Caenorhabditis elegans: one gene and its partners. The protein of the gene in region 3 purifies or fractionates together with the protein of the main gene of each other region. This does not show direct contact. Each region holds a gene or a part of one and is shown on either strand. Other genes may lie near its edges. The genes, in order: ndx-6, cyn-11, clik-3 and usp-3.

What was found.
Region 1: the proteins of clik-3 (region 3) and ndx-6 fractionate together in Caenorhabditis elegans (co-fractionation; one large-scale study listed by BioGRID). This does not show direct contact.
Region 2: the proteins of clik-3 (region 3) and cyn-11 fractionate together in Caenorhabditis elegans (co-fractionation; one large-scale study listed by BioGRID). This does not show direct contact.
Region 4: the proteins of clik-3 (region 3) and usp-3 fractionate together in Caenorhabditis elegans (co-fractionation; one large-scale study listed by BioGRID). This does not show direct contact.

What each region holds. Positions count from the first base shown.
Region 1 is NC_003280.10:5,388,328-5,391,690, forward strand, and holds ndx-6 (Putative nudix hydrolase 6), read right to left. Parts: upstream 1,555-3,363; 5' UTR 1,511-1,554; coding exon 1,477-1,510; intron 1,429-1,476; coding exon 1,218-1,428; intron 1,172-1,217; coding exon 848-1,171; intron 804-847; coding exon 590-803; 3' UTR 502-589; downstream 1-501. Other genes in the region: rsp-4 (putative splicing factor, arginine/serine-rich 4), read right to left, coding at 100-237, 294-499; brap-2 (BRCA1-associated protein homolog 2), read right to left, coding at 2,110-2,187, 2,233-2,334, 2,385-2,813. UniProt on the Caenorhabditis elegans protein: Probably mediates the hydrolysis of some nucleoside diphosphate derivatives.
Region 2 is NC_003280.10:8,714,582-8,717,814, forward strand, and holds cyn-11 (Peptidyl-prolyl cis-trans isomerase 11), read right to left. Parts: upstream 1,701-3,233; 5' UTR 1,700-1,700; coding exon 1,598-1,699; intron 1,544-1,597; coding exon 1,385-1,543; intron 1,340-1,384; coding exon 1,159-1,339; exon of another isoform or gene 1,137-1,158; coding exon of another isoform or gene 1,040-1,136; intron 991-1,039; coding exon of another isoform or gene 836-990; exon of another isoform or gene 816-835; intron 722-815; coding exon 612-721; 3' UTR 550-611; downstream 1-549. Other genes in the region: Ras-related protein Rab-21, read right to left, coding at 1-166, 290-427; T01B7.13 (uncharacterized protein), read left to right, coding at 836-990, 1,040-1,136; T01B7.5 (Sas10 C-terminal domain-containing protein), read left to right, coding at 2,264-2,286, 2,339-2,544, 2,589-2,812, 2,856-2,942. UniProt on the Caenorhabditis elegans protein: PPIases accelerate the folding of proteins. It catalyzes the cis-trans isomerization of proline imidic peptide bonds in oligopeptides.
Region 3 is NC_003279.8:3,418,073-3,424,752, reverse strand, and holds clik-3 (CaLponIn-liKe proteins), read right to left. Parts: upstream 5,154-6,680; 5' UTR 5,075-5,153; coding exon 5,044-5,074; intron 4,388-5,043; coding exon 4,319-4,387; intron 3,595-4,318; coding exon 3,512-3,594; intron 2,470-3,511; coding exon 2,320-2,469; intron 1,545-2,319; coding exon 1,398-1,544; intron 874-1,397; coding exon 745-873; 3' UTR 542-744; downstream 1-541.
Region 4 is NC_003279.8:13,948,592-13,953,476, forward strand, and holds the start of usp-3 (Ubiquitin carboxyl-terminal hydrolase), read right to left. Parts: upstream 3,040-4,885; 5' UTR 3,038-3,039; coding exon 2,907-3,037; intron 2,828-2,906; coding exon 2,513-2,827; intron 1,199-2,512; coding exon 902-1,198; intron 1-901. Other genes in the region: rps-6 (Small ribosomal subunit protein eS6), read left to right, coding at 3,587-3,724, 3,897-4,257, 4,313-4,554.

The DNA of each region.
Region 1 (3,363 bases), on a different chromosome or scaffold from region 3:
CTGCTGTTCTATAAATAAGTCAGGAAGACAAGGGTTCCATTAAGTCTCGCGCCTAATTTTTGAGCACAACTACAAGGGGAATCAACTGAGTATACTAACCTTCTACGTCCACCACCACCTCCACGGCCTCCTCTCTCATCCGATGGTCGATCATACTTTGCAAGAGTCACACGTAACTCGCGTCCATCAACCAACTTTCCGTCTGTGCGGTCCAATGCGTGCTCAGCATCACGACGTCTAAAATAATATTGATTTTCTGATGTTTTCTCTCCAATAGTTCCAATTTAACTTACTCATAAAATCTAACGAATCCGAATCCTTTCGATTGGCGAGAGTACTTGTCCCTTGGAATGTGAACATCTCCAATGTCTCCGTATCGCTCAAAAGTTCGACGCAAATCGTTGGGCGTTGTTTGGTACGACAAGTTGTCGATTTTCAGCGAAGTTAGACCATTGATATCCGGTGCGGCACGACGATCACCACCTCCTCCACGGCTCATTTCTGAAATGAAAATCATTTATGAATTGAATATAGCTAACAGAAACGCGAAAATAAGAGGAGAACATGAGAAAAGAGAGACATGTGGTAGTTAATGAGAATGAGATTCTTTTAGAAGATCAATAAAATGAGAATGAGAAGCGTAAAGTGGCTCATTTGAATTAACTGCAATCCAGCGTAAAGCTTTAGCATCATCTCCTGCTTGAAGAGCCACATTTTTCAGAAGGCCTTTTGAATCATGAAAATTGAAAACAACAGTCTCCATCCATGCGTTATCAGTGTTACGTGGGTCATCAACGTAACCTCTGTAAATGAAACATTGAGTGGGATAAAAGAGCTGTGAATGCACCTGTATAACTCTTTACCATTATTCCACAATTCATCAAGATTTTCAGAATCGACAATTCCATGCATTGCTTCTTCTGCGAATTCGCGCCGTAGAGTTTGTGAAACATGCTCTCCAGCATCCACCATTCCTCCAGGAATTGCCCACTCGCCATTGTCATGACGTTGAACTGCAACAAACTCCAAATCACCATTGTCGTTTGTTCTAGAAACGATCGGATCTGCTGCGTGGTTTGGACCCCAACGACCAAGCAAACCACGACCAGAAAGTCCCGTACGTCCAATAGGATTTAGTGGGCGAAGGGTGACAGGATCAAATGAGTACTGACTGGAAGGTTTCTTGATTGATTGAGTATATACACTCATAAACGCACCAAACATATGACACTCTATTGATTTTCCCATCGATCGCATTCCAAGACGGTTGGAACGTTTTCTCATCGATTTCTGGGTCTGCCCAAACAGCTCCATCAACTTTTGGATCGGTGTGAGCCGGAGGATTGTATCCTGACCATTCTTGGCTCCATTTGACAAGATTATCAGGCACATTTAGTCGGTGAATGTTACTACCAAGGTAAACCGTATCTAGAGGTTAAATTTGTATTTAATGTTAGATTAATACATTGTTTATACCGATATTTCTGCATTTTTGATGAACGAAACTCATTATCGGACGACACAAAAGATGATTCCAAATTGTCATAAATTGCCCAAAAATCGATAATCTTGGTTAGTGAGTGTAAAAATGCGGCAGAAAACTTTTGAATTAGAGAAATACGAAGAGTTTCGAGAAATTATGAGAGCAGTGATATTAAAAGTTGATGGAAATCTTGAAAAAAAGAGAAAATAATTTGTAAAAGATAAGTATCGAGAAAAATCGAAGGAAACAAGAATGATGGCCAGCGGAGACGTTTAAAACGAAGTGTGCGTTCTTAGTGAACACAAGAGTTGCGTCAGCACCGAAAATGTGTCAGCAAGGAAAGAGGAGGGAATTCGAAAAATAGTTTTTGACTCGTCGTTTAATAACGATTGAAAACATGGTACATAATATGAAACCAAAAGACACTCGAACGATATCATTTTATTCATAAGCGAATGCATTAAATAAACTACCGGCTGCATACATATATACCGCACAAAATTCGATGAGATACGCGAAAGAAAGCGAATAAATATTCAAGTGAGACTAACCATATATGAAAAGACTATTAAAGAAATGTTCAATATGCAAAAATTAAATAGGACATGGATCTCCTGAGATGCCAACTACTTTTTCTTCTTTCTGTTCAATTTTCTCGACGAGGAGGACGACGAATCGAGTTCAACTTGACTTTCAGTTATTTCCTGTAAATTAAACATTTTTATTGTGGCGAGCATTGGTTAACCAACCTCTTGAGTTATTTTTCCAGCATCCAACTGCTCTTTCAGCTTATTTTGAGTTTCAAAATGCATCAAAAGATCATTGACTTGTGACTGAAGATCTTCGATTTTCTGAAAAGAAAAGCTTTCAAGAGATCAAGGGAATCTATTTAGACGAATACCTTTTCATACTCGGTTCGAGCAGTTTTCTGACTTTCAATAAGCTTTTCCACTTGACCTTTCCACACTTGCTGATCTTTTCTCAACATTTGATTTATTTCACGTTCATCTTTCAACTCATTTGCAAGCTTATTCACTTTTTCATTTGTCTGCGTTGCTCGTTTCTCTGCCACTTTTCTCGCCGTCACAGTATCATCTAAATCTCCTTTTAATGATTTCAATTCAGTTGATCGTTCCGTCAGTTGATGCTCGAGATTCTCTACTTGAGCATAAGCAGTTTTCTCCATTTTTGACATCGTTTGCTCCATATCGTGACGTAGACCTTCAAAATATTTCCGTTGATCCTCAAGTTGACTGGTCAGGAGTAGAGTGTATTCGAGTTTGATTCCCTCAAGCTTGTCTCCACCCTTTTGGTTTTTGTCATCAAAGCTCTGCAATTTTCAACATTTTTAGGGAATTTGAGTGAAGACTAAACATTCTGGTCTATTTAGTCAGAATACTTGAAAACAAAATTTTAAATGAATTTATAAATTTTCTGTATAGAATGAAAAGGCCACAAAACAGTGCTGGACTTTTTTTTTGCTTTTTTTTCTGTTTTTCAAAGGTATTTTTTCACGAAAAAAAAAAAATTTTGCTTTATGATAGCAAAAATAAAGTAAAAAATCAAACACTTTGGATTTCAAACACTTTTAGAACATGATCATACTTATTATTCAACGATAAAGGGGAAAATGAATATATTACAGGATTTTAGCACTTATTCCTAGGCAGAACAAAAGTATTTGTGTGATAATTAATTTGAAACGCATTTACAGACGCATATATATATATATATATATTTGTTTTCAAACAAAAACCAATAGAATTCAATGAGAAAACCCGAAAAATTGCATCCAAAAAAATTAATTGATTCATTGCCCGAGAGGAGTACACGGCCGAGAATTTTCAAAACTAATTAGTGCGCGAAATTCAAATTAGTTA
Region 2 (3,233 bases), on a different chromosome or scaffold from region 3:
TTTCAAATGACTTTCTATCAGTGATATCGAAAACCAGTAGCACGCCATTGCTTCCTCGATAGTAGATTGGACCGAGTGCGTGGTATTTCTCCTGTCCAGCGGTATCCCAGATGTGTAGGTCAGCTTGGCAGTCTTCTACATTCACAGTTTTGTTTTGGAAGCTTGCCTGCAATATGAAGAACAATTGGAAAATATTTTATATGCATATCAAAATCTTGATAACTGAATGAAGAAAAACCCAGAAATATTTTTTTGGATTATCTATCGCAACCTTTTTCTAAATTATTACCTGAATCGTCGACAGGTGTTTGCAGCTGAATTTATTTTCAACGAATCGAAGCACAAGTGATGATTTACCAACACATCCTTCGCCGAGCAACACGATCTTGAATTTGAACGACTTCTGATCCACGTTGGTTTCGAGCATTTATTCTGAAAGTATTCGATTTTGAAGGTTTATTTTCTTTACTTCGCTTTTAAAACTGAACCAGATATACTAACAGTCACTTATACTGTCTTTTCATTTCATTTTTCAACCCATATAATCAGAAGTAATTAATAGTTTATTGTGAATATAACAAAACGAGATCAAAATAACAATACAGTGAAAATTAGAGTTGGCCACATTGAACAACAACAATCGGAAGTTTCGGCTTGTTATTGGCTCCAGTTGGAACATTTTCGATTTTCCGAACCGTCAGCATTCCATCGAGTACTCGTCCTGCAATAAACGATCGGTCAGAAATATCAAACATATCAATGGCGTCATTAACTAGCTTTATCTCGTATAAAAGGTGATAAGGATATAAGGAAATCTAGTTGTTTTAGCTAGACGATGACACGCATTCTCGTTCTAATTTTTTTCTTTTTAAAATGCGTTTCATTGCAAACATTACTTCCTTTATTGTATGCTAACGCTGGCATGTTCAACCCATATAATCAGTATAAAACAACAACTATGGCACCATCAATGTATCACCAACATTATCAGTGGGTATCATTAAAATTTGCGATTTTCTTTTTAAAACACTGCTTTCAGGGGATTGGGATGGAGAACTAATGACGTTGGAGACATTTATCACAATCACAATCCGTATTCTTCTTTCTTTGTACTACAGAAATCAACTTATCCGTGAATTTGAAATAAAAAAAAATTACCAAAAACTACATGTTTGTTGTCAAGGAAATCGGTTTTTGCGCAAGTGATAAAAAACTGACAACCATTTGTGTCAGAGCCAGCGTTAGCCATCGAAAGCATTCCTGGTCCTATGTGCTTCAGCTCGAAATTCTCGTCACGGAACTTTGAACCATAGATGCTCATCAAACCGGTTCCATCGCCCTGAAAAAATGATATAACTTTAAAATTTAAAATTGTTAAACTTACGTTGCAGAAGTCGCCACCCTGAATCATAAAGTCCTTGATCACACGATGAAATGTGCAGTTTTTGTATCCGTTTGGGACACCATCTTTTTTGTATTCTCCTGTACAGAACTGACGAAAGTTTTCAGCAGTTCTCGGTGTTACATCAGCAAATAACTCGATCTGAAAAATTATGAAATATATAGCAAATTAAAACTGGAATGGTCGTCAACTTACAACAATAGTTCCGATTGGTGCACCACCGGCGGTAACTTCTAGAAAAACGATTGGGTTATCCGGATGACGGAGCTGCTCGGCAAACTTGTCGTATTCAGTCATTCTGAAAAAGAAAACATATAAATGAGTTAGTTTTTAAAACCAGAAAAACGTTTTCTGTAAGTATTCGAAATAAGTATTTTCGAAATGTGTCAGGTTTTTCCGAGAATAATGGGATCAACTGAACTAATCGTTCATAAGTTTTATAACCAAGAAATACAAATTCGTCAATAAAATTCGACATATTCAAGAAAAAAGTGATATTCGTTCTATTCAAAACAAAAAAAGGTGAGCATTAAATGGGTGTATAGAACAATAATAAAGTGCGCGGGTAGTTTGCAATCAGAAACCCCGCCCACAAAGCCCTGCCGCTAATAATTTTCCCCCGTCTTTTCTCAAATTCAACTCGAAAATTCAATTTTTGAATAATTTATCTTGTAAAAGTTCGTTCTATTCATTTAAAAATTAATTTATCGAAGTTTATCACACGATTAAAGCATAATTAACTTTATTAGAGTTATTCATTGATTTGAAAATCAGAATTTGGTTTATTTTCGGTCGGTGCAATCCGTTTCTCTGTTGAAAATGCTATAAATTGCTAATTTTTGGATTTCAGATACTAGAACTATGTCATCAAGGAAGGGGAAAGCGTAAGTTGAATGTTTTTCACAATTTATAAATAATCATTAAATATATTTTCAGATCTGCTCATATCTCATACGAAGACGAAAATGATGATCTCATTGATGAAATCAATACTTTTCATAACAAAGACAGAAAAGTCGAAAAGGGTGCTATTCACAAAAGAAAAACATTCAATCGTCCAGAAGAGGTGTTAAACGTTGAAGCAGAAGCATCGGATAGCAGTGAAGACGATGGATCCGACTTTGATGATGACGATGTTAATGGTAGTTTTCTTTCTGAATTACCTGATTAACGTAATTTATTTAAGATATCACGGACAACAAATGGGGTAAAAAGAGGAAAGATTTCTATGGAACTGGATTCGTGGATAAAGATTGGGGCGGAATGCGTGAAGAAGAAATGGAAGATGCTCAACTCGAAGAGGAAGATGCGTTGACTCGTCAAAAACAAATCGACAAATCGACAGCTGCCATTGCTGATTTATTTGACGACGACGATGAAGATGAGGAAGAAAAAGAAGAAACTGTCGAGGTAAACGAATTGAAAGAATAATTAAAATAATGAAAAGTTTTAGGTGGAAACAGTTTTAGAATTCAATGAGGAGAATGCAAGGACAAAGAACAAAAAAATCGTGAAAACTCTGGAACAATTTGAAGCAAGAGTAAGTTCTAATTTTTTAAAATGTCTCTTCACTTTTTTCCCGGTATCAGTTGCAGCTTCTTCCTCTTGTGATAATTTCCTATTTCTTCCTAATGCCAATTCTCGAAAGTTTATTAAATTTTGAAGCTATCACTTGTGAACATCAAATGCTGATTCGTATCGTTTCCAAGGTTAATTTTTCGTGTTCTCTCTTTTTCAGTATCTTCCCGTTTTCACTTCATCTGTTCTCTTCATTCTTTCAACTAAACACCACCGATGGCTAGTAGATAAGCGGTCTCAAATCGCGCAATCG
Region 3 (6,680 bases):
AGAATACAAGTTTTGAAAAATACTATTTCTTGGAAAATTTATCATACAGTTCGTTTATCATAGAGTTCTACTAAAAACCTGGAAAAAATAAGGTATATTATCCAATCAGGAAAAATCTGGAAAATAAGTTCGTCTTGAACTACATTTTTCCAGTATTTTTTCAGGACAGGGGTGGGCGGCAATTACTTGCCGAAAATTTTCAATTCCGCCAATTTGCCGATTTGCCGATTTGCCGGAAATTTTCAATTCCGCCAATTTGCCGATTTGCTGATTTGCCGGAAATTTTCAATTCCGCCAATTTGCCAGTTTGCCAATTTTTAGAAAATTTTCAATTCCGACAATTTGCCGGATTGTCGATTTGCCGAAAATTTTCAATTCCGGCAAGTTGCCGGTTTGCCGATTTTTAGAAAATTTTCAATTCCGGCAAGTTGCCGGTTTGTCGGAAATTTTCAACTCCCGCAATTTGCCAATTTGCCGATTTGCCAGAAAAAAATCGTTTGCCCACCTCAATATAGAAGTTATAGGTAGATAAAAGCGTGAATTATTTTGCAAAAATATTTACTCGTAAGAAACAAGAAGAAGTTGTATATCGAGTGATGTGAGTACATTTTGGAGGGTCTTGCCTTCTGGTTGATGGAATATTGCAAGTAAAGTGAACTAGAGACAGGGCGTGGCAAAATCTACAAAAAACGGAGAAAACAATTGTTTAAAAGCAGAAAAGGGAAATTTTATGAATAAAACAATTTAATTTTGTGGTTGAGCATTCACTGGTTGCTGTTGAAAATCGGCGGCTTCCTCCGGGAACTCGAGCTCCCAAATTCTCTTCAAATGCTTTCCCTTGACGTCACGTGGTGTTCCGAAACCGGTCATTCCCTGGAAAATTTCAAAAAATATATATAATTTCGAAAATTTTCTTTTCTTTCATTTTGGTTTGTTTGAAACGAAAAAAACGTTGCGAAAAAGTGCACAGTGGGGAGAAAACTACTACTACTAATCCGAAAGTAAACATGAGAATCAGAGGGGAATGGGGGGACAGGCAACCACTGATTATATAACTGAACAACTCATTTATTGACGCATTCAAACTGGTCTGCTGCTTAACCTTTTGGACTAGAAAACCTTATCATCCATTTCAAATTTTATCAGATTTATAATATAGTACTACAAAAGAATTATCAAACTTTTACGAACTCTGATCTTTCAAGACCAAATGCAACTCTAAATTGAACCCCATCCCAGAATTCCATCCAACATTTCACCATTTCCCAAGGGATCTAATAAGAAGTGAAGAACCTTCTCTCCATTTTTTTCCAAACTTTTCCTCTAAAAATCAGGGACCAAACGTGGGGAACAAGACGTGGGACAATGCATTCATTAACATAGAAAAAAAACGGAACCTTTTGACTTTCATATTGATTCGTTCCGGATTGAAGACGGACAATTGAGTCGTGAGCCGCGTTGTCAGCTACAGCCCATCGGGCTCCGTGCTCCGCGAATTCAACTTTTGTCTGCGTGTTTCGTGGCATTCCGAAGCCGGTTTTTCCCTGGAAATGGACACAAATCAGGCACAAACACGCACATAAATTGAGAAAAAGGGGGTTAGGTAAAGTGACACGTGGATGCGGAAATATTTAAAGTATCCTATTTAATGGCTTCTAATTTTAAAAAAATTCAAAAATTTGCTATGTGGCCGTGGAAGAGAAAATTCGGCCACCGAGATGAGTTCAGAAACGAACGATTTTCAATTCAAAACACTATGGCCGAGTTTAGTCATTTTTACGTCCATGAGTCTCTGCCACGTGGCCTAAAAATGAACAAACACGGCGAAGGGCTTTTGTTTGGCTCAAGCCGAGTTTTTTGTTTTCTAGGTCACGTAATTTTCAATGGGGTCGTGAAAAAACTCGGTCACTCTAATAAAACTGATTTTCATAAAAAATTGCTCGAAAATCTCTCAATGGCCGAATTTTTATTTTCTAGGCCACGTCATTATGGTTCTTCTGTGTTTCTAGGCTATTTGGCCTGTGGCCTAGCTTTCTCGGTTTCTAGGCCACAACGCACAGCTGCGTGGCCGACAAAAAAGAACAATTCGGTCATTATTACCAAAAGCTGTTTCTCAAACATTTTTTTTCAAATTTCAAAAAATCCTGGCGGTCGAATTTTTCCTAAGCCATACCGCTTTAAAAAGGGTTTATTTCGCATTTTTTCTGAATAAAATTTGAAATTTGAAAGCTCTAGAATTAGCAAATTTAATAAACATATAGGTTCAACATGCGACATTCAAAAAAAAATTAGAAAGTTCCAAAATTCCAAAATTCAAACCTTTTGAGATTCAAATTGATTCGTTCCTGACTGAAGTCGAACAATCGCATCGGAATATTGCTTCTGTTCCTCAATTAGCCATTGCTTGTCATGATCGGCAAAATCGACTTTGGTTTGTGTGTTACGTGGCATTCCAAACCCAGTTTTTCCCTGAAATTCACAACAAAACACATATATGTACGGACACATAAGACAAGGACACTTGTTAAGCTACAATTTAGGGCCTACTTTGACAGCTTATAACTTTTTCAGTTGTCAAGATGTCAAAAAGTTTTAATTACAAAATTGTAGAAGGCAGTTTGGCCTGTATTTTGTCAGTTAACACTTTTTTGATAACATCAAAGACAACCGAGATATGCTCTGTTAAAGTTAAGTGTGTTTAAAGACAAAACTACAGTGGGCTCACGGCAAAGCATACTTGTAAAAAACGTAACATTTTTGGGCACAGAATTACATAGCTTTTTTAACAGTAACAACAAAAGCTTAATCTAGGGATTGGCGAAAAGTTCAAAATTTTAGAAGATAATATATTTTAAACTCCCGCCAAAATATTGTCTGAGAGTATTTGAATTTTCCCCAAAAAAAATTTTGACAAGAAATCTAAATTTCCAGAAAAAATGTTGGCGGGAAATTCAAAACATATAGAGGTACTGTAGGATTACTGTAGGGTTACTGTAGCTTTACTGTACTACTAGAAATCGCGGGAAATTTATATTTGAAAAGTGTGACGTCACACACCATTATATAATACGGTTTTCAAAATTTATGGAGATCGAAAAAATTTTTAAAAACACGCATAAATCTTATGACATTAGATTTCACCGAAAAAAAAATTGAAAATGAAAAATGTTTTTCATACAATTTTGCGAAAATATGTACTAAACATTTTCAATTTTTCAATTTTTCCAAAAATCGAAAATTTTCGTTCTTCGGTTTTCTCAAAAAATCCCTTTTACCCCCATTTTTTCCCAATTTTTTTTCAAAATTTCCACAACAAATTAACCTTCTAAAAGTTCAACTATTGAACCTTCCCACGGCTCCCCGAAATACACTCTCCCTTTCCCGACCCCCAATAAATGCTGCGGTTTGTTTGGATATATTGACAGAGATAAGACTCTTATTCTCTTGAGTCTCTAAGTTTACTGTTTTTTTTTGATTGAAGGATAGATATAGCCTTCCCCTCAAAACTCACTCGTTGACTGTCAAACTGGTTAGTTCCGGATTGAAGTGGCACCATTGCATCAGTCTGACGGAGTTGACGAAGTGTCCATTTTCCTGCAAAAGTTGGGGGGTTGCGTGGAGAAATTGGTAGAAAAATGGGAACTTCCTAGATTATTTGTAGAATTAATATTTAAAAATCCGCTCCAAATTAATATTTCAGCAAAATCTAATGTTTAAAAATCGTCAAAATTTGGCTGCCATTTGCTGGAAATTTTAAGCGTCCGGTTTTTGTTCAGGCCTTTCCATTTTGCTCTGAAGCTACTTCTAGGCTCTGCTCTGCTAATAAAAAAATTCCGTTTTTCCTATACTCCACAACTTCACTTTGAAAAATTATAACTCGGTTCATTTTCTAGATATCAAAAACAAATCAACTACAAACGAAAGAAAATGAAATCAAAAATATTTTGTTAGTTGATAATTTTTAAAATAAAAAAAACGACAAGTAAGATATAAGCCGTGAAAAAATTATATTTTTATTACCTTTTTTCATAAGGATGCATTTTCTATCATTGTTTACCCTAGATTTTTCCAAGCAGAATTTTTAATAATAATGGGTTTTATATTACCATGTTTGGTTAGACAAAAAATTATATAGTATTTGCCGAAAATATAACAAACATGCAAATTGGATAGGTCTAGTTGGATTTATCTCTAGATTTTTGTAGGTGAACTTTTTTTAAAATTTAAATAAATAAAAATTAAAAAAGTATGAGGGATGTAGTAAAACTATCCATATGCTAAACATGCCTTTTAAAGTATAAAAAACAATAAAACATACCATCACGAGTTCTCCTCTCCAATTGTTCATTGCTTGGCACCTCGACGGCGGCAATTTTGAGGCCAGCTTCTGAAAATTTTAAATTATTATTTGAATTTAGAATTACTCATTATTACTTTTTTATAGTTTAGTAGTTTTTACGTTTTTTTTTTACTTCAGATTGGCCGAGATATTAAGTTGATAGTTTTCGATCTTTTTCAATAAATTTTAATTTTTTTTTAAATGTTTGCAGACTCTTTTCTATAGTTTTGTATTTGAGACCATTTTTAATAACTTCAAAATAAGCCGAGATATTAGCTACCAAAGTTGATAGTGGTACATGGTGCATCGACGGCGTGGAACAACTTTGACAGCCTAGATCTCAGTAGTTTTGGATTTTATCAATAACTTTCAAATTTTAAAAAATGTTGCAGGTTTTTTTCTACAATTTTGTAGTTGAGAACATTTCAAAATAAGCCGAGATATTTGCTGCTAAAATGTTGATAAAAGAACACGGTGCATCGAAGTTGGAACTCTAACTTTGATTACGCATATATATCTCGGTAGTTTCTGATTTTATCAAAAAGTTTTCAACTGGCGAAATATATATCATTCCTTATTCTATGATCTGATAGTAACAAAATTTTCAATATTTTGTAAATTAACCGAGATATGAGCTACCAAAGTCAGATGCAAGACTAATTAAGAAAATGAGATTAAAATTTAAAAATAAAAACATGACTCACCTTGATGAGTTGGTGGTACTGGGGAAGTCATTATTCGAATAGATTGTGTGTGCTTCCGAGATGGGGGTTACTAACTGCCAGCAAAAAGGGGTAGTGCTCCGCAAGAAAGTGGGCGGAGCCCGCGTTCGGCTTGCTGAGACGATCTGCGTCTCCGGGATGCTGTGTAGAGTCTCGAAGGGGCGTGGGACGCCCCGATCGAAGTTGGTTTGAGAATACACCCACAAGCACTTGTTTCAATCGTGGTAGACACAAAAAAATGGTACAGCGAGTGGAGAAAGTGAGGAGGGTAGAGACGTGCTGATTCACTCTTTGAAATGCGAAATAATACATATTTTGAGTCACACAGACTCTTGAACCTTTTTTTTGAAAATATGAAACAGATGATGTGAAAATCGGCGGAATGTGATCCAGATGTCCTTTGCCCAAAAAACATATTATTTTACTTCCGGTGCATTTTGGCAGTTTATATCTCTGTGAGGTATAGTTTTATCAGAATGTGGTTCACTACAAAAATGATCGAAATACTTTTTTCTACAGTTTGTTAGCTGACAACTTTTCGATACCTTTGCAACTAGCCAAAATATTGAGCAGGGGTGGCGGCGAACGATTTTTGCCGGCAAATCGGAAAATTGGCAAATTGTCGGAAATTGAAATTTTTGGCAAATCGGCGAATTGCCGGAATTCAAAATTTTCGGCAAATCGGCAAACCGGCGATTTGCAAGAATTGAAAATTTCCGGCAAATCGGCAAACCGGCGAATTGCCGGAATTCAAAATTTCGAGCGAATCGGCAAACCGGCAAAACTGTCGGAATTGAACATTTTTGACAAATAGGCAAACCGTCAATTTGCCGAAAATGAAAGTTTCCGGCAAATCGACAAACCGGCAATTTGCCGATTTGCCGAACAGCAAAAGACCCGAAATAAAGGAATTTCTAAAATTTGTCGAACAGTTTTATTATGATAATCGGTAATTTTAGAATGAACTTGGCAGTTTTCTTTAAAAAATATTGTACCATATAAATATTTCGATATTAGCTACCATTTTCAGTTTGCAGTTTGCCGGTTTGCCAATTTGCCGGATTTTCGATTTGCTGGAAATGTTCAATTCCGGTAAATTGCCGGTTTGCCGATTTGCCGGAAATTTTCAATTCCAGCAGTTTGTCGGTTTGCCGTTTTGCCGGAATTTTTCAATTCCGGCATATTGCCGGTTTGCCAATTCGCCAATTTGCGGAAAAATTTCAATTCCGACAATTTGCCGGTTTGCCGATTTGCCGGAAAGTTTCAATTCCGGCAAATTTCCGGTTTGCCGACTTGCCGGCTTTAAAAATCGCTTTAATTCTAACTACAAATTTTCAAAAATTTTCGCTTCTTTTCCCAATACGATGACATCATCCATGACTTGATTTCCCCCATTTTTCGGTAACTTTTGTAGCCTGTCTTTGTGTGGTGTCTGTCTCATGTTAAAAACTCGCAAACTTTGAGAATAGCTAATCGGAGATCAAGAGCTTCCCCCCTCCCGACAGGAAGTTGGCTGTGTTTTGTCTTTTCATCTGTTTTTCCGAGGTCCTTTGAAATGACGACAATAACAGAAAAAAGTGTCGGATGGGGGAAACGGACCAACTGACATTTCTACCACC
Region 4 (4,885 bases), about 11 Mb from region 3:
TGTGTATAAAAATTGAATTTTTCAACAAAAATTGAAATTAAAATAGGATTTTTGTAACAAAACCTGCAGAAACGACATTTTTTAGGTGAAAAAGTTAAATTTTCCATGAAAATCGGTATTTGGATTAAAAATCGGCATTTTTCTGTGAAATCACACATTTTATATCATTTTTAGGGCAAAAATTCAAATTTTTAGTTGAAATTTACGCAATTTTCGCTATAAAAATACAATTTTCAGAAAAAATTGCCAAAAAAAAATGGATTTTTGAACCTCAAAAGGTGAATTTTACGCATTTTTAGCGTTAAAAACGTAAAATTTACGATTTTTATTGAAAAAATGAGGCATTTTCCATGAAAAATAGCCTTTCACTGCTAGAAAACTGCATTTTTCACGTGAAAATCACAATTTCGGCTAATTTTCGATGATTTTCCCGATTTTTTGGGTCAAAAATCGCGTTTTTCACCAATTTTTCACACTTTCCAGGTGAAAAACGTACGCTAATGCTTAAAAAAGAAAAATTTTTGACGTTAAAACAGGAAATTTTACGCATTTTTCGGGTTTTTTTTTTAAATTTTAAGACCGGAAAACGCACAATTCACGAGTTTTCCGTGGTTTTCTGCAGAATTTTGCAATTTTCAACTAAAAAACGCAAAATATAAACTAATTTTTGCGTTTTCCTAACAATTTTCACGGAAAAATCACAATTTCTGCTCATTTTCGATGAAATTCTCAATTTTTAGGGTCAAAAATCGCGTTTTTCACCAATTTTTCACTCTCAAGGGGCGGAAAACACCCGATTTTCGCGCATGAATTTCGCATTTTCAGGGTCAAAAATGGCCGATTTTCATGTATTTCGGCTCAAAAAAGCCAATTTTTCACACTTTCGAGGTGAAAAACGTACGCTAATGCTTGTAAAACGGCATTCATAAAGCACGTATTTCCAACATTTCGCATTCCACGTGGCCTATAGGCAATTTCAGATGATGACGTGGCACCGCCGGACCCCGATGACGTAGAATTTGTGGATGATAGTGTGACGTCATGAATTACGGCGGCTCCCTGCTGCTGCTGGAATGGTGGTGTATCGACGAACATTGGACTGACTTTTCCCTTTTTTCCACGTTTTTTCTTCGAATTTCGAGAAGCTGGAGCCACGTGGAGCTTTTGGGTGAATGTTGAGGCGACTGAGGTCACTGTTCTGAAAGAAAATTGAGGATTTTTGAGTGGAAAATCGGAATTTTTTGGCTTTTTAGGTGGAAAAATGGATATTTGATGTTTTTTGGGCTGAAAAATCGGAATTTTTGAATATTTTTAGGTGGAAAAGTGTGATTTTGCTCTAGAAAACGGAAGTTTTTATATGGAAAATTGGATTTTTTAATGTTTTTGTGCTGCTGAAAAATGGGAATTTTGGGGCTTTTTGGTTGAAAAACTGATTTTCTGAATTAAATTTGAAGATTTAACGCTGAAAAATCAACGTTTGGGAGCTTTTAAGTGGGAAATTGAGTTATTGTTACGTTTTTCTATTGAAAAACCGCGCATTTTTGAACATTTATAGTGGAAAAAATTGATTTTTCTACTGAAAATAGGAATTTTTGTGGATTTTTAGTGGGAAAAATGGATATTTGATGTTTTTTGGGCTGAAAAATCGGAATTTTTGAATATTTTTAGAAAAATGTGATTTTGCTCTAGAAAATGGAGGTTTTTCATTGAAAAATTAGTAAAAATATGAGGTTTTTGACGGAAAAATCGGATTTTTCGTGGGCTAAATGAATTTTTTGATGTTTTTTGTGCTGAAAAATCGGAAGTTTTGGGCTTTTTCATTGTGAAAACTGATTTTCTAAAATAAATTTAAAGTGTTAACGTTGAAAAATTCGGAATTTTTGGGCTGTTTAGGTGCAAAAACGGATTTTGAAGTTTTTTGTGCTGAAAGATCGGATTTTTTTGGCTTTTTAGGAGGAAAAATGGATTTTTGATGTTTTTTCCCCTGAAAAATCACAATTTAGGGGCTTTTTAGTGGGAAAAATGAATTTTATCGCAGAAATTGATGAGTTTCTGCCGAAAAATCGGAATTTTTCGGATTCTTAGGGCGAAATACGATTTTTTGATGTTTTTTCACCTGAAAATCGGAATTTTAGTGATTCTCGTGAGGAAAATAGGGTTCTGTTCAAGTTTTTGCGGAAAAAATGATTTCCCAATGGAAAATTAAAGTTTCTTCGATGAAAATTAGGATTTTCATTTTTTTTTTTAAGAAAAATAAATTTTTATGAGAAAACGAACGTTTTTGACTGAAAAATCAAAATTTTCAGAAATTCCAGAGAGAAAAATGGAATTTCTGAGGAAAATTGGCGTTTTTTTCACTGAAAATCGCAATTTATCGGACTTTTCATGGGAAATACGATTTTTACGAGAACTGTAACGTTTTTCAGTGGAAAATTCGATTTCTAGCAGGGTTTATCGATAAAATATCGGTTTTTAACCAATTTTTAGTCCATTTTCCTCGAAAAATACGCACTGAAAAGGCTGTGCCGGTATAGTCGGCCCGTCGCCTCCCTCCATAACGTCTTCCCGGTCGAAAAGGAGCTTCAGCGATTTTAGAACTCCATATAAAGATGGCTCAAAGTCCAGTGACACTTCATCATCACAGGAATAGCAGTAAAGCTCGAAAGAAATGCAATCAATGACGACTGGGTGGCTGGTTTCTTCAAAATGATGCAAAGCGTGGCCCGAGTCGTTTCTTCCGCACAGAATTCGTCCGCAAGTGAGGCACATCAGCGATTTATTGCAATTATCGCATTCGTCGCAGAAGGTTTTAATTATTTCCTGGTTTCTGGAAGAAAAACGAGTTTTTAAAGCTATTTTTAGCTTTTTTTAGCCATTTTCTAGCCAAATTTCTCAAAAAAACTCACTTCACCACCTTCCCACGATTCGAATTTCCCTCCAAGAACAAATTATTGTCCTCCATGTCCTGTTTCTTGCGGAACATCCCCTTGGGCACACGCTCCACACAATCTTCCGCCTTTATATGGGTGCAAAGCATCTGAAAAAATTCGAAAATCAGTCAATTTGAGTGTGAGAGCAAAGTTTTGGCACTTAAAACGCGGATAAAAAATCGATAATCAAGAAAAACAGCAAATTTTCGGCGGAAATCGAAGAAAAACCGAAAATCGAGTCGGAAAATCGGAAAAGTTTGGAAAAAAATAAAATCCATCGGACGAGATAGTGTGGGAAAGGTGGGGTGCAGCAGACGACGAGGCGGATGGGGGATGGGTCTCGCCACGAAGGGCGTGCGCCTTTAAACTGGAATTGTCGTTGGCCTAAAAAGTTTTCGCTCCTTTTTTCATTTTTCCCTCGAATTTTTGGGTGAATTTCTCATTTTTAGGCGAACTTTTCGGTTTTTTTTTCGAATTTTCAAAATTTTAAATGTTTTCCTGATAGTTTTCCTCCACATTTCGCAGGATATTTGCTTGGAAAATCAAATTTATTAGTTTTAGGCCCATGTTTTCGTTTTTCGCTTCAGTTTCTCCTTTTCTCACCCCGTTAACTCATTTCCAATGTTTTTCTTCTTGCAGGTAATAATATTTGAGCGATGAGACTTAACTTCGCCTACCCAGCCACCGGGCTCCAAAAGTCGTTCGAGGTCGATGAGGAGAAGAAGCTTCGCCTCTTCTTCGAGAAGCGCATGTCCCAGGAGGTCGCCATCGATGCTCTCGGTGACGAGTGGAAGGTTAGCGAGTCACCCAAAAACACAGAAACGAAGTGATGTTTCTGTGTCAAATCCTCATTGTTTCACGTGCTTTTTCTTCGCTGAAATGGCTGTGACTAGACATACATTGAGAGTCCCAGTTTTTGTTTTTGAACCGATTCTCGGCTCTTTCAAACGAGTTGCTTTTTTCCAGGGATATGTCGTCAGAATCGGAGGAGGAAACGACAAGCAGGGATTCCCAATGAAGCAAGGAATTCTCACCAACGGACGTGTTCGTCTTCTCTTGAAGAAGGGACAATCCTGCTACCGTGAGCGCAAGAACGGAGAGCGCAAGAGAAAGTCCGTCCGTGGATGCATCGTCGACGCCAACATGTCCGCTCTTTCCCTCGTCATCGTGAAGAAGGGAGATGGAGAGATCGAAGGACTCACCGACTCCGTTCTCCCACGCAAGCTCGGACCAAAGAGAGCCTCCAAGATCCGCAAGCTCTTCAACTTGACCAAGCACGACGATGTCACCAAATACGTCATCACCCACGACAAGACCTTCCCAGATGGTGAGTTTCTTCAATATTCTCTTTAAATTTAGTTTTTAACTGTCTAAATTTCCAGGAGTCACCAAGACCATCGCACCAAAGATCCAGCGTCTCATCACCCCAGCTCGTATCGCCAGAAAGAAGTACCTTCTCCGCCAGAAGCGCAACCAGAAGATCAAGATGCGCGATGACGCCGCTGCCTACCACAAGCTCCTCGCCAAGTACTCCAAGGAAGAGCACGACGCCAAGATCGCCCGCAGACGCTCTTCGGCTTCCCATCACTCCGAGTCCGAGGTCAAGAAGACCAGCAAGAAGTAAATACTGCTGCTCGTTATTGTTTCCTAATGAAATTGTTGTTAAACTTAAATCTTTTTTTTTTGTTGTTCACTCCATTCGTCTCACCAATTATATTTGCACCCATTTGTCGTTGTTAATTTTTTTGAATGCTTACTCCGAGTCCTGGCACGCCACTCAGGGTACTTGGTCGATCCGTTCTTCGCCTGCGGGGCGGATAGCAGGCTTCGCAGCTTTCAAAGCTTTTCGGTTCTTTGCTTGGCTGATAGTTGTATGACTCAACCGAAGGCGTCTCTCGTGTGACCTTTTTATAAAGAGTCGTTCCATCTAAACGGGAGTCGTCCATTTTTGTGTT